Saccharomyces cerevisiae S288C: one gene and its partner. Changing the gene in region 2 together with the main gene of any one other region gives a genetic interaction. Each region holds a gene or a part of one and is shown on either strand. Other genes may lie near its edges.

Evidence for each region. Genes that interact genetically often act in the same process or in processes that back each other up.
Region 1: mutations in SSK2 (region 2) and YHR210C together harm fitness more than expected from each alone (negative genetic interaction), as found in Saccharomyces cerevisiae (3 studies listed by BioGRID).

The regions. Positions count from the first base shown.
Region 1 is NC_001140.6:520,158-523,505, forward strand, and holds YHR210C (aldose 1-epimerase superfamily protein), read right to left. Parts: upstream 1,581-3,348; coding exon 555-1,580; downstream 1-554. Other genes in the region: CRG1 (S-adenosylmethionine-dependent methyltransferase), read left to right, coding at 1-155.
Region 2 is NC_001146.8:680,131-687,338, forward strand, and holds SSK2 (mitogen-activated protein kinase kinase kinase SSK2), read right to left. Parts: upstream 5,304-7,208; coding exon 564-5,303; downstream 1-563. Other genes in the region: ALG12 (dolichyl-P-Man:Man(7)GlcNAc(2)-PP-dolichol alpha-1,6-mannosyltransferase), read left to right, coding at 1-324; putative serine/threonine-protein kinase PPG1, read left to right, coding at 5,880-6,986; ubiquitin-like protein HUB1, read right to left, coding at 7,113-7,208. UniProt on the Saccharomyces cerevisiae protein: Kinase involved in a signal transduction pathway that is activated by changes in the osmolarity of the extracellular environment. Activates the PBS2 MAP kinase kinase by phosphorylation.

The DNA of each region.
Region 1 (3,348 bases), on a different chromosome or scaffold from region 2:
TATACACTTCTTGGGCTAGAGATAATCCCTCGAAACCGGATATTGCCGATATATTCATTAACGAGCTCAAAGAAATCTGTCATTGTGAAGATTTGAATGTACCTTTAAAAATAGAGTGGTCAACGTTTTATTACTTATGTAGGAAAAGAGAATGAGGTTTACTAAATTAAAAGAAATATATAAAAAGCTGATTTTTTTCTTTTTTTAAATATTTCCCAAATGCTAATAAATATTAAAATATGGCAAAAAGAAAATAAGGTGTTGTTGCGCAGTTGGGAGTAATTTAAAACCGTCAACATATGCTCTAAAAATTTTATTGGCTCTAAATTCCGACCTCTGAATGTAATTATGTTTTAAAGCGATACGTAAACTTGTTACTGTTAACATTAAAAGATAATGCAATCATGGTAACATAATAAAGTCTCAAAAAATTCTTAATATTAACTATAACATATGCACTTCAGAAAGCTGTTTCCGGATCATATCTCATTATAAAAAGCTCAATTTATAGAAAAATAATGCGACAGTGCAAAGTAAACAACTAAATTTGGTGCCTACACCGCAAAACGATATCGAGTCTTAGAAGTATATACCTCACCACGTCTCAAAAGAACGCAGTCTCTCCATCCATCACGGTTGATTGCGTCAACATATCTGCCTTGTTCAACGGCAAAGCCAGATCTCGGCGTAAATCCATCACACAAGTTGTCACCTGTGTAAAATAGGACAGTTGGTTCTGTTGTTGAAACCTCCAATGAAAGTCGTGATGCCGGATGATAAGCCTTGAAGGCAGGGACGAGCTTGTTTACACTTACTGAGTCTGTCGTTTTCAAATTCTTATTTTCATCAACAATGAAAGCGTAGTCATAAATCGGGCCATCATCCTGCAGAATGGTAGGTTTGGAGGAGTCAAAAGTAGCAATTTTTCTTTGAACGATTTTACCGGTTGGAATTAGTGCTCCTTCGCTTACTTCCAATGATTTATCTGAGCAGAGCCTAACCTCCGTACCGCTAATGGATTTTTTATCCATAGTTTTGTTTAAATTGAAGTACGTGTGATTCGTCATGTTGATGGGAGTAGCCTCACCGCTGACCAGTTTTGCCTCGTATTCCAAGTCCAAGGTCATGTCAGCAACGTTCAATGTGTACTTTAAGTTTACAGCTAGATCTCCCGGAAATTCATTGGGCAGTGTGCGGTCATCCAATAACGTAAATTCAACAATGTAAAGGTCATCAAGAGGATTTTGGACTTTGGATGCCTTATACTTCTTGAGATGGAAGGAGCTGATGCTACTGTGGTTGGTGTTTCCACAATTGTTCACTGTCAACTGATGAGGTCCATCTTCCATACTGAACATGCCCTTGTAAATACGATTTGCATAACGGCCAACAGTAGCACCAATGTAGTTGTAGCCATCTGATATATAGCCATGAATATCAGGGTATCCTAGAACAATCGATTCGTTGTTCACTTTCAAGTCAAGCAAAGTAGCGCCAAGCTCTGAAATTGTTGCTTGAAGCTTTTTTGCATCACCAATAGTGATGACTTCATATTCACCGCCAGCCTTATTATTTGACATTATCACTTTTTGGCTTTTTAGGTGAATTTACTTATTGCAGTAACATAATGTACAATTGAGTTCCAGTACTTCGTAGTACATTCTGATTTTATATCTCAGAGCATCCAAGGTGTTTACGCATGAATAACCAAACCATGGAGGAGTTACTTTTACCTTTTTTTAAGATATTCAGCTAGTAACTAATTGTCGGAAAAACTTAACAGGTACAAGGCCATATTATCACGTAACAAACCTAATTTTTGTACGATATTAGTGCCCGAGAATTTCTCCGTAGCGTAATTTTCTGCGAGAATTTCTGCGCAGTGCAAAGATATGCGACCTGACACTCTTTACGAAACTTTACCCCTCCCCCACCTCCACCTGCATTTATCCCGTCAAAAAGTGTCAATCACCTGGATGCATAAGGAGGAAAAATTATTCCAAGGATGTTGGACAACGCGAATTTTGGAAGTGACTTCTCATAAGCTTCTGATCTCTACTATATTCTTGTAATTTGGTGGGGTAGTGCAGGCTTACTGTGCGATGAGCAAATCCAGCGTATTGCTCACAGCGATAGGCCTTTGAAATGATATTGTTTGAATGCAAAACGCAGAAATGATATTCAACTTCATAATCTCATTAAACAAGATAGCATGCCAATAGAATTCCATTTTTTCCGATTCTTAGGCCATTTACAACCAAGTATCAACTTTCGTATAATTTTATTTCCATAATTATACGCAAATGCTGCAGTAGTTGCACATAGAATGATGATACGACCTAATAAAGGAAAAGGGGAATCTGTTCTGAGCTGAAAACTGATTCAAAACTCAATTTGGACACTCGGTTCGGGTGCTGGCCAGCAATAGTTTAGTGTTATCATGTCATAATCTTCCTCATAGGTTTCAATGTAATATCGATAATTACAAAGTAGTTCCTTTTCATTTAAATTTATATGCAAGAAGATAAGAGTTGATGTAGCAGTGCACCAGTTTTGCTTTACAATTCTTACAGTTTTATGAAAAATAATCTCCAATATGCCATGCTGAACTGGCATTCTTTTTGAGTGCAAAAGGAGGTTTTGGAAAAACAAAGTCTTCTTCTGCGTGTTACTCTGAAAATGTTGAAAAATAAGCTGAATGGGGCATTACATGTTTTCATCCAAACATGCCTTGTCAATAACGAGATTCGCGACGTATTCTTTTAGTATTCTGTTCCTTTTTTTTTTTGCTCCGCGCGCACTTGAACATCTTGCATATTTTTCTTTTCTGTTTTCATCCAGAGGTTGTGTTCTAGGACTTTCTGACGGAGGAATATCATCAAATCATCACAATAAGATCAATTGCATGGGTTCCAGCACTTAGCCAAATGTACAAATCTTGATATTTACCGGAGACCAACCCTTAGTTTGAAGTGTGCGCTACCAGGGAATCTTCTTCGGTCATTATTTTCTATCTTCACGATAATCGATCCTCCTCCTATACGTTAATATCGACTGATATCTAAATACATCGTTGAAGAACGGCGGAAAAATACTTATTTTCAGGTTGTCTTCGTTTTCACTCACGATAGCAATATGGATCCTTTCACAGCTCCTATCACCGCTGTAGTTTTTTATGACGCTTAATTTCCTGTTAATAAGTAAATAAGGTAAGTTGAAGGTCCTTCATACTGTGATCTGCAATAAACCACATGGCTACCGCACTTCTTGTCACTATCCTATGTGGAGAAAACCCAGAAAAAACTTTAAAGCGTGATTGAAATCAATAATTTGGCAAAGAACTAGAAC
Region 2 (7,208 bases):
AATACGACTTTACTGCAGGAAATGTGGCCCTCCTTTGATTTCTTGATCACCCACGAGCCAACCGCCTCTCAATTGCCATTCGAGAATAAGACTACCAACCATTGGGAGCTAGTTAACACAACAAAGATGTTTACTGGATTTGACCCAACCTACATTAAGAACTTTGTTTTCCAAGAGAGAGTGAATGTTTTGTCTCTACTCAAACAGATCATTTTCGACAAGACCCCTACCGTTTTTTTGAAAGAATTGACGGCCAATTCGATTGTTAAAAGCGATGTCTTCTTCACCTATAAGAGAATCAAACAAGATGAAAAAACTGATTGATAATAGCTAACGTCAATTCCAATAAAATATATAGCGAGCGTTTTACATTAATCCACCTCGACTAGACTTCAAATTTTCACTTTTATATCTTACCTTTATAAATTTCTGTTCTCAAAATCAAAACAATTATAAAAAAATGCTATCATTAATCTTCTATCCTTGAATTAACATTATATACTCTCCCCCCACTACATTATATTTTGATTTTACATATAATACAACAAACCTTCTCAACTTAACTACTCTCTTTCCTCAGTATCTGTAGAGGAAGAATCGTCGCCAAAGGCTATTTCTCTAATTTGTACAATCCAAGGATCCATCAACAGCTCAACCGCACTGGCTCTCTTGGAGGGGTTTTGAATAAGACATCTTTCCAGAAATTTCATACCAGCAGACGACACTTCATCCTTAGTAGGGAATTGTGGGGTATGTCCTGCAGCAACATGGTACATGATAGCCCATTCATTATCTAAGTTAGCCCATGGCCGTCTACCAGTGATCATTTCTAATACCACGCAGCCTAACGACCAAACATCGTCTGCCCCAAGTTTGCCTTTGGTGGTAGATCCAGTGATGGATTCTGGAGCCATGTACATAGGAGTTCCCATCATGTCTAATAGAGCATTTTCGTTATTTTTCACTGCCTTTGAATCAGAAACATGGGTAACATCTTCGTGTTCACCATCTGCGTTTTCGATTTTGTTCATACTTGCCAATCTAGTTCCATTATTAGCAATTTTTTTAGCAGCACCAAAATCAACATACTTAATAACACCATTAAAATCTAGTAGGATGTTTTCGGGTTTAACATCACGGTGAACAATGCCGGATTCATGCAAATATGCAAGTCCTTCTAGCAATTGTAAAGTGTAGACTTGAGTGACCATTTCATCTTCAATACGACCATGCTCCAAAAGAGCTGCTAGGGAACCGCCTTCACAATATTCCATAAAGATGTTAACTTTATCACGATGAACTTCAACACCGTAATATGAAACTATATTTGGATGGTTCAATATCTCTAAGACACTCATTTCCTCCTTGATTAAGGGGAATATTTTTTGCATTGATTTGCTATCTTGAATATTGATTTCCTTGACTGCTAAAATCTCACCATTATCCAAATCAACAGCAGAATATACCCTTCCAAAAGTACCGCCACCAATAAAGTTCCTCTTTTGCCATCTCATAGAAACGTTCGATATGGAAGATGCCAAAGAAACAAGGTACTTGTTACCTTTGTCACTATCATCAATTACTTTACCAGTTTGATGAGGATTCCGCTTTATCCTTTCTTCCAATTCCATTATACTTTGTACTCGGAACTCGGAATTCACTTGTAGCATCATATCATCGTCAAACACATCTTCCAAATCAAGATTTGATCTAGCTTGTTGATTGATTTTCTCAACTTCTATGGAGCGTGCGCCTATTATATCAAAATGAGAAATAAGTAATGACATGCATTCTGAAATTTTTTGTTTTAAAGAAGAAAATTGGCATTCATCAAGAGCTAGTATGTTCCAACCGCTTACCATATGCATCGCGAACTCCATTGACGTGACACACCACCTAAATACCCTTTGATCAGTCGGATCACAGTCTTCAGCTAAGAACTTCAGCCATCCGATACTTAACCGCATCATTAAAAGTATTATAATGGATCTTTTTTCATTGTTGGCAACATTAATTCTCAAAAAGTTCAGACCAAAATCCCTCCCAAAAAGGAAAATATTATTCAATAAATCATTGACAGGACTTACCTTCTTGAACGTGGTCACAATCTTTGTATAGTTCTTCAGAACACTGTACGTGCATCTGAAATATGCTTTATTTATCCTTTGTAAGTTGTTTTTAACCGTTTCTGAGGAAGATTTTTTTTCCAAGAAAGAAACTGAGCTACCAGATATCTGTTGGAACCTGTCACATTGGTATTCTAAGGCATAACTGGATCCTTGGCACATCAAATCTATTGAATTAGGAATTACTTTCAAGTTCAATCCCTCTGGTTTAATTGTTTTGTTATCGGATAGATTATACATCTCACCCTCCCAAAGTAATGGCTCTTGCGGAGTCAATACCAATACATAACCAAGAGAGTTCAATCTTGTCTCCAGTTCATAAAACTCTTCCTCCGTGCTCCTGCTGTTTTCAAAATCCGGTTCACGATTGACTCTATTACCGTTATAAGATCTAGGCTGGGTGGTCAAATCGTTTTTGATATAATAAAATGGGGTACCATCATTCGAGATATCTGAACCCAGTGATGAGTTGGAGTTCCAATTATCATCCAAAGCATTATAAATTGTCAGACTGTTATTAATTTCTAGCTTAGGCACTAAATCACAACCGATGTCTGAATTCTTAATGATTCTTAAAATATCATCATCTTTACAGCCTAATAGCTCTGGGCTACCAATTAAATAAGTACCATTTTGCTCTAGGTAACCTCCTGTGTATATAAGAAAGTGGCCTGTTTCTTTTAGTTGCTTTAGCAGATAGTTGTGATCTTCTATCTTGTAGCGGACAAAATTTTGAAATGCTTTTGTCAAAATATTGGTGAATCTATTGAGTTTTCTTTTCATGGATCCAAGTATTTCGAATATTTGCACCAGCCATTTTTCAGCAGCAGCTTCATTCTCTAATTTTGGCGGAGTGTTTTGCTGCCTTAAAAGGTAAGCGTGCAATCTGTGAACCAATCTAAGTGTCAACTTCGTAAATTCTGCTGCGATCAGTTCGCCTGCATCATCAATATAATAGCCGACGTTTCTAAACATTTCCCAATATTTTAATAACAGATCAGGTTCTTTAGAAGTCTTGAATGAGTTTTTGCCACTATATAATATTCTCAGTTCCAAAATGGAGAAAAAATATTCCAATCCTTCAACAACGGTATGATCAAATTCGGGATCGATTTTCACTTTAAAAAACCAGTCATTACAGTAAGAAGCAACAGTGAATTTCATTTGGACTGCCAACTTAATATATGTACTAAAATCGTCCATCATTTGATCGATCATCATCAAGGTTGGATTCTGTATTTTCTTCGCGTAAGATAGGCGAATTAGTATTATATCTTTTACCAAACGCATTGGAAACATCAATAAAAATTCCAGATCTTGATCCAAATAAGATAGATTCAATTCATTCCAAGTTTTTTGGTATTTCAAGAAGAAAAATTTGGCCTTCAAAATCCATGGTGCTAATGGAAAGAATATTTTTTTTTGAAATATCAGTTCAATATCCTTTTCCTTCATAATTTGCTCCGCAAAGCGTTTACAATTAGTGGCGAAAACGGCTGGATCATCCAAATTCACGGTGGTGTTATCCACTTCGGTAGTGCTTTCTAGCTCTTTATTGCCAACTATCCATTTTTTCAGGTACGCAATATTAGTATCAAAGTTAAATTTGAAATTAAGCCAACTATTCAAAGTATCTATTCGATTCCTGAATGCTTCTGTTTTAGTAATGGGTTTTTCAGCATGCATTCTTTTAATGTTAGGCCATAGATTTAAGACTCTATAATATTTGTCTACTAGTGATTTGATAGTCTCTGCAGCCTCGTCAGCGCTCATATTATCTTCTAGTTTAAAGGCCATGATTTCTTGAAATACGGAGTCAGTAGAATCCCTAAAAATCCTCAGAGATTTGTTCTGATCTTCCACGGTCCTCCCATTCATCCATGCCTTCAACTCAATCCAAATGTCATCTGAAAACTGAGTATTGAAGCCAGGGCCTTTCCCTTGATTTGCAATCTTCGTTTTTTCATTCCTCACAATATCTCCCTTCAGTACCTTAGATAACATTGTTTGCCATTCAAATCGGTTGTTCACCATAGGATTTTGTAACAATTTTGACAGCAAATCCTCGCTCCCCAGTATGGAATGCCACTCCTCATCTTCTATTTCACACGGTTGATCATTGTTCACATCCCTCAACCAATCCAATTTGCCCTTTAGATAATTTAGGCTCATCGAAACAACATTTTCATTATTTTTTGTGCTCGACGTAATAAAATTATAACCAAAATTGAAGTCGTTATCTTTATCCTCACCTTCTACCTTTAAAAGATCATCCATTTCTAGTTCTAAGTCATCTTCACCTTTGTTACTAAAATTTTCTTCGTCATCTTCAAAGTTGGATGATGCGACTATACCTCTAGTGTAATAATCATCATTAGCACGGTTTCTCATTTTTCTTAAATATAACTGTTCATTTAATACATATTGTTTTTTGTATGTTCGGAGGCTCGTTGTGCTTCCACCATGGTGGCCTACAGACCGTTGCGAGCTATTTGTCGTGACAATATCCTGCAAAGTGGAGGAACTTGTTGACCCATTTGGTTGCGATCTGGTGGGAATGTGTTTGTTCGAAGTTTGGTTTGTAATATTTTGTGGCGTTGACATAATCGATGTATTCGTTGTATTTAGTGAAGCCAGTTCTGGTGATATCACTAACGTTGGGGTCGTCAATAATGGATCTTGATTACTATTCACGGGAGCGGGCTTCTTAATAATCTCGCTCTCTGTTTTACTAGCCTCAACTTTCTTATGTACAGGAACAGGTTGAGTAGACAACTTCGGTAGAGACTGCTGAGGATTTTTTGGTAGAGGAAGACCAATATTCGAGGGCCGTCTACTAGATCTTGCCGAGGAGCTGGAGGACCCAGAAATGGCATTTTGATGAAAAAACTGACCTTGAGGTATACCCGGAAGACGATTGAATAGCTGTACTGTATTTAATGGAGACTCTCCAGGGCTGTAAACAGCGTTTGGTGATCTAAAGTACTGGGTAGAATGCAGCCCTGGGCTGATGGGCGATGACGCTACTCGAGCCTGCGTAGTATTGGAATTTCGCCCTAAACTTTCCGACCTTAGTCTAGATGAAGATGATGAAGATGACTGCCTCATCTTGGAGCTGCTGGGCTTTTCCGTGGAATCGCCGTAAGGCTTATAATTGAAGTAGTCTGAATGCGACATTATTTGTGCCTGTCAAATAGTTTACGCAAAGGCTTCTCTTCTTTTTAGTAATGGCAGACTGTTTGTACTTGAAACTGCCCAATAGTAACTTGAAGGACAGACGGAGCTCACACAAAAGTTAACAAATATGCTGGAACCTTTTTTTTTCCTTTGAATTCTTTGTAAACCAGTAATTCGTTTTGAAAACACCCGTTCTTAGCTGTTCTTTAACAGTACTACTCTCTAAGGCAATAACACACTGGGGCAGCAACAATTACAATCTTCTAACCTCTTCTAATCTGCAGATTTGGCTTCTTTCTATCTCTGTTTACCCACCTTTATCACTCTTTTCAGATTAATCAATTCTTTCCATACAAAGAAACGCCCGAAAAGTGGCGCGAGTTTCCCGGGTGATGGAGCAGTAATTAATAATGCAAAACTGCTAAAATACCCACTGTTTCAGGGTATGAAACGCGGTATTTTCAGCGAGTTGTAGGTAATTTGGAACAGTTCGTGACTGTTTATTAAGTTCCACTCATTGCAGTTGTATCCCCACTGTGTACTTTTATTTTTGGTTAGAGAATTGGCCCAGTAGAGATGGAATTGGACGAATGTTTAGAAAGGCTATACAAGGCCCAGTTACTACCTGAAGTGACTGTAAGGGCACTCTGCTTTAAGCTGAAGGAAATGCTAGTGAAGGAGTCAAACGTGATTCACATTCAGACCCCTGTCACAGTCGTGGGGGATATGCATGGACAGTTTCACGATATGCTGGAGATCTTCCAAATAGGCGGCCCTGTTCCTGATACGAATTATCTGTTCTTGGGCGACTATGTAGACAGGGGGTTGTACAGTGTGGAAACAATTATGCTATTGATTGTGCTTAAGCTTCGATATCCTAGTAGAATTCATCTTTTGAGGGGAAACCACGAGTCACGTCAAATCACGCAGAGCTATGGTTTCTACACGGAGTGCTTGAACAAGTACGGTGGCAATTCAAGAGTTTGGCAATATTTGACAGATATATTTGACTATCTAGTGTTATGCTGTATTATCGACGACGAAATTTTTTGTGTTCATGGTGGGCTCTCGCCCAATGTTCAAACCATAGATCAGATCAAGATTATTGATAGATTTCGAGAAATTCCACACGATGGCGCCATGGCAGACTTGGTTTGGTCTGATCCGGAAGAAAACAATAACCCCACGTTAGATCATCCAGATAACTCTGGACAACATTTCCAGGTGTCACCTCGTGGAGCAGGTTATACTTTCGGAAGAAGCGTGGTGGAGAAATTCTTACGTATGAACGATATGAACAGAATATACAGAGCCCATCAGTTATGTAACGAAGGTTACCAGATATATTTTGATGGATTGGTTACTACTGTATGGTCGGCGCCAAACTATTGTTATCGGTGCGGCAATAAAGCATCTATTCTGGAGCTGTATAGTAAAGATCAATTCTACTTCAACGTTTTCGAAGAGGCACCTGAAAATAAACTGTTGAAAGAGAACAGTATGAACGACAATGCCTTAGAAGATAGCATATCTAATCCGGTAGCCAACAGGAAATTGATTGCAGATTATTTCGAAGACGACTCTGCCTCCGCAGATGGCTCCACGGACCCTGAAATGTACATATTTTCAGATGTATACCAAGCCAGATCTGCTTCTAACAGACATGTTGATTACTTCTTGTAGCTTACTAAACAATAGAAAAGCATTATAGAGACAACGCCATCTTATTATTTCTACATATTCTATCTCTCTCGGTTGCAAATGTATGTATTGTGTATTTAGATCAAAAAAAAAAAAACAGCGCATTTTCTACAGGTAATACAGCTCCAAATTTGTCTGATCATGTACCTCATAATCTTCCAGAGAGATATGGTCTTTTAAAACACTTCCACCCTTCTGCAACAC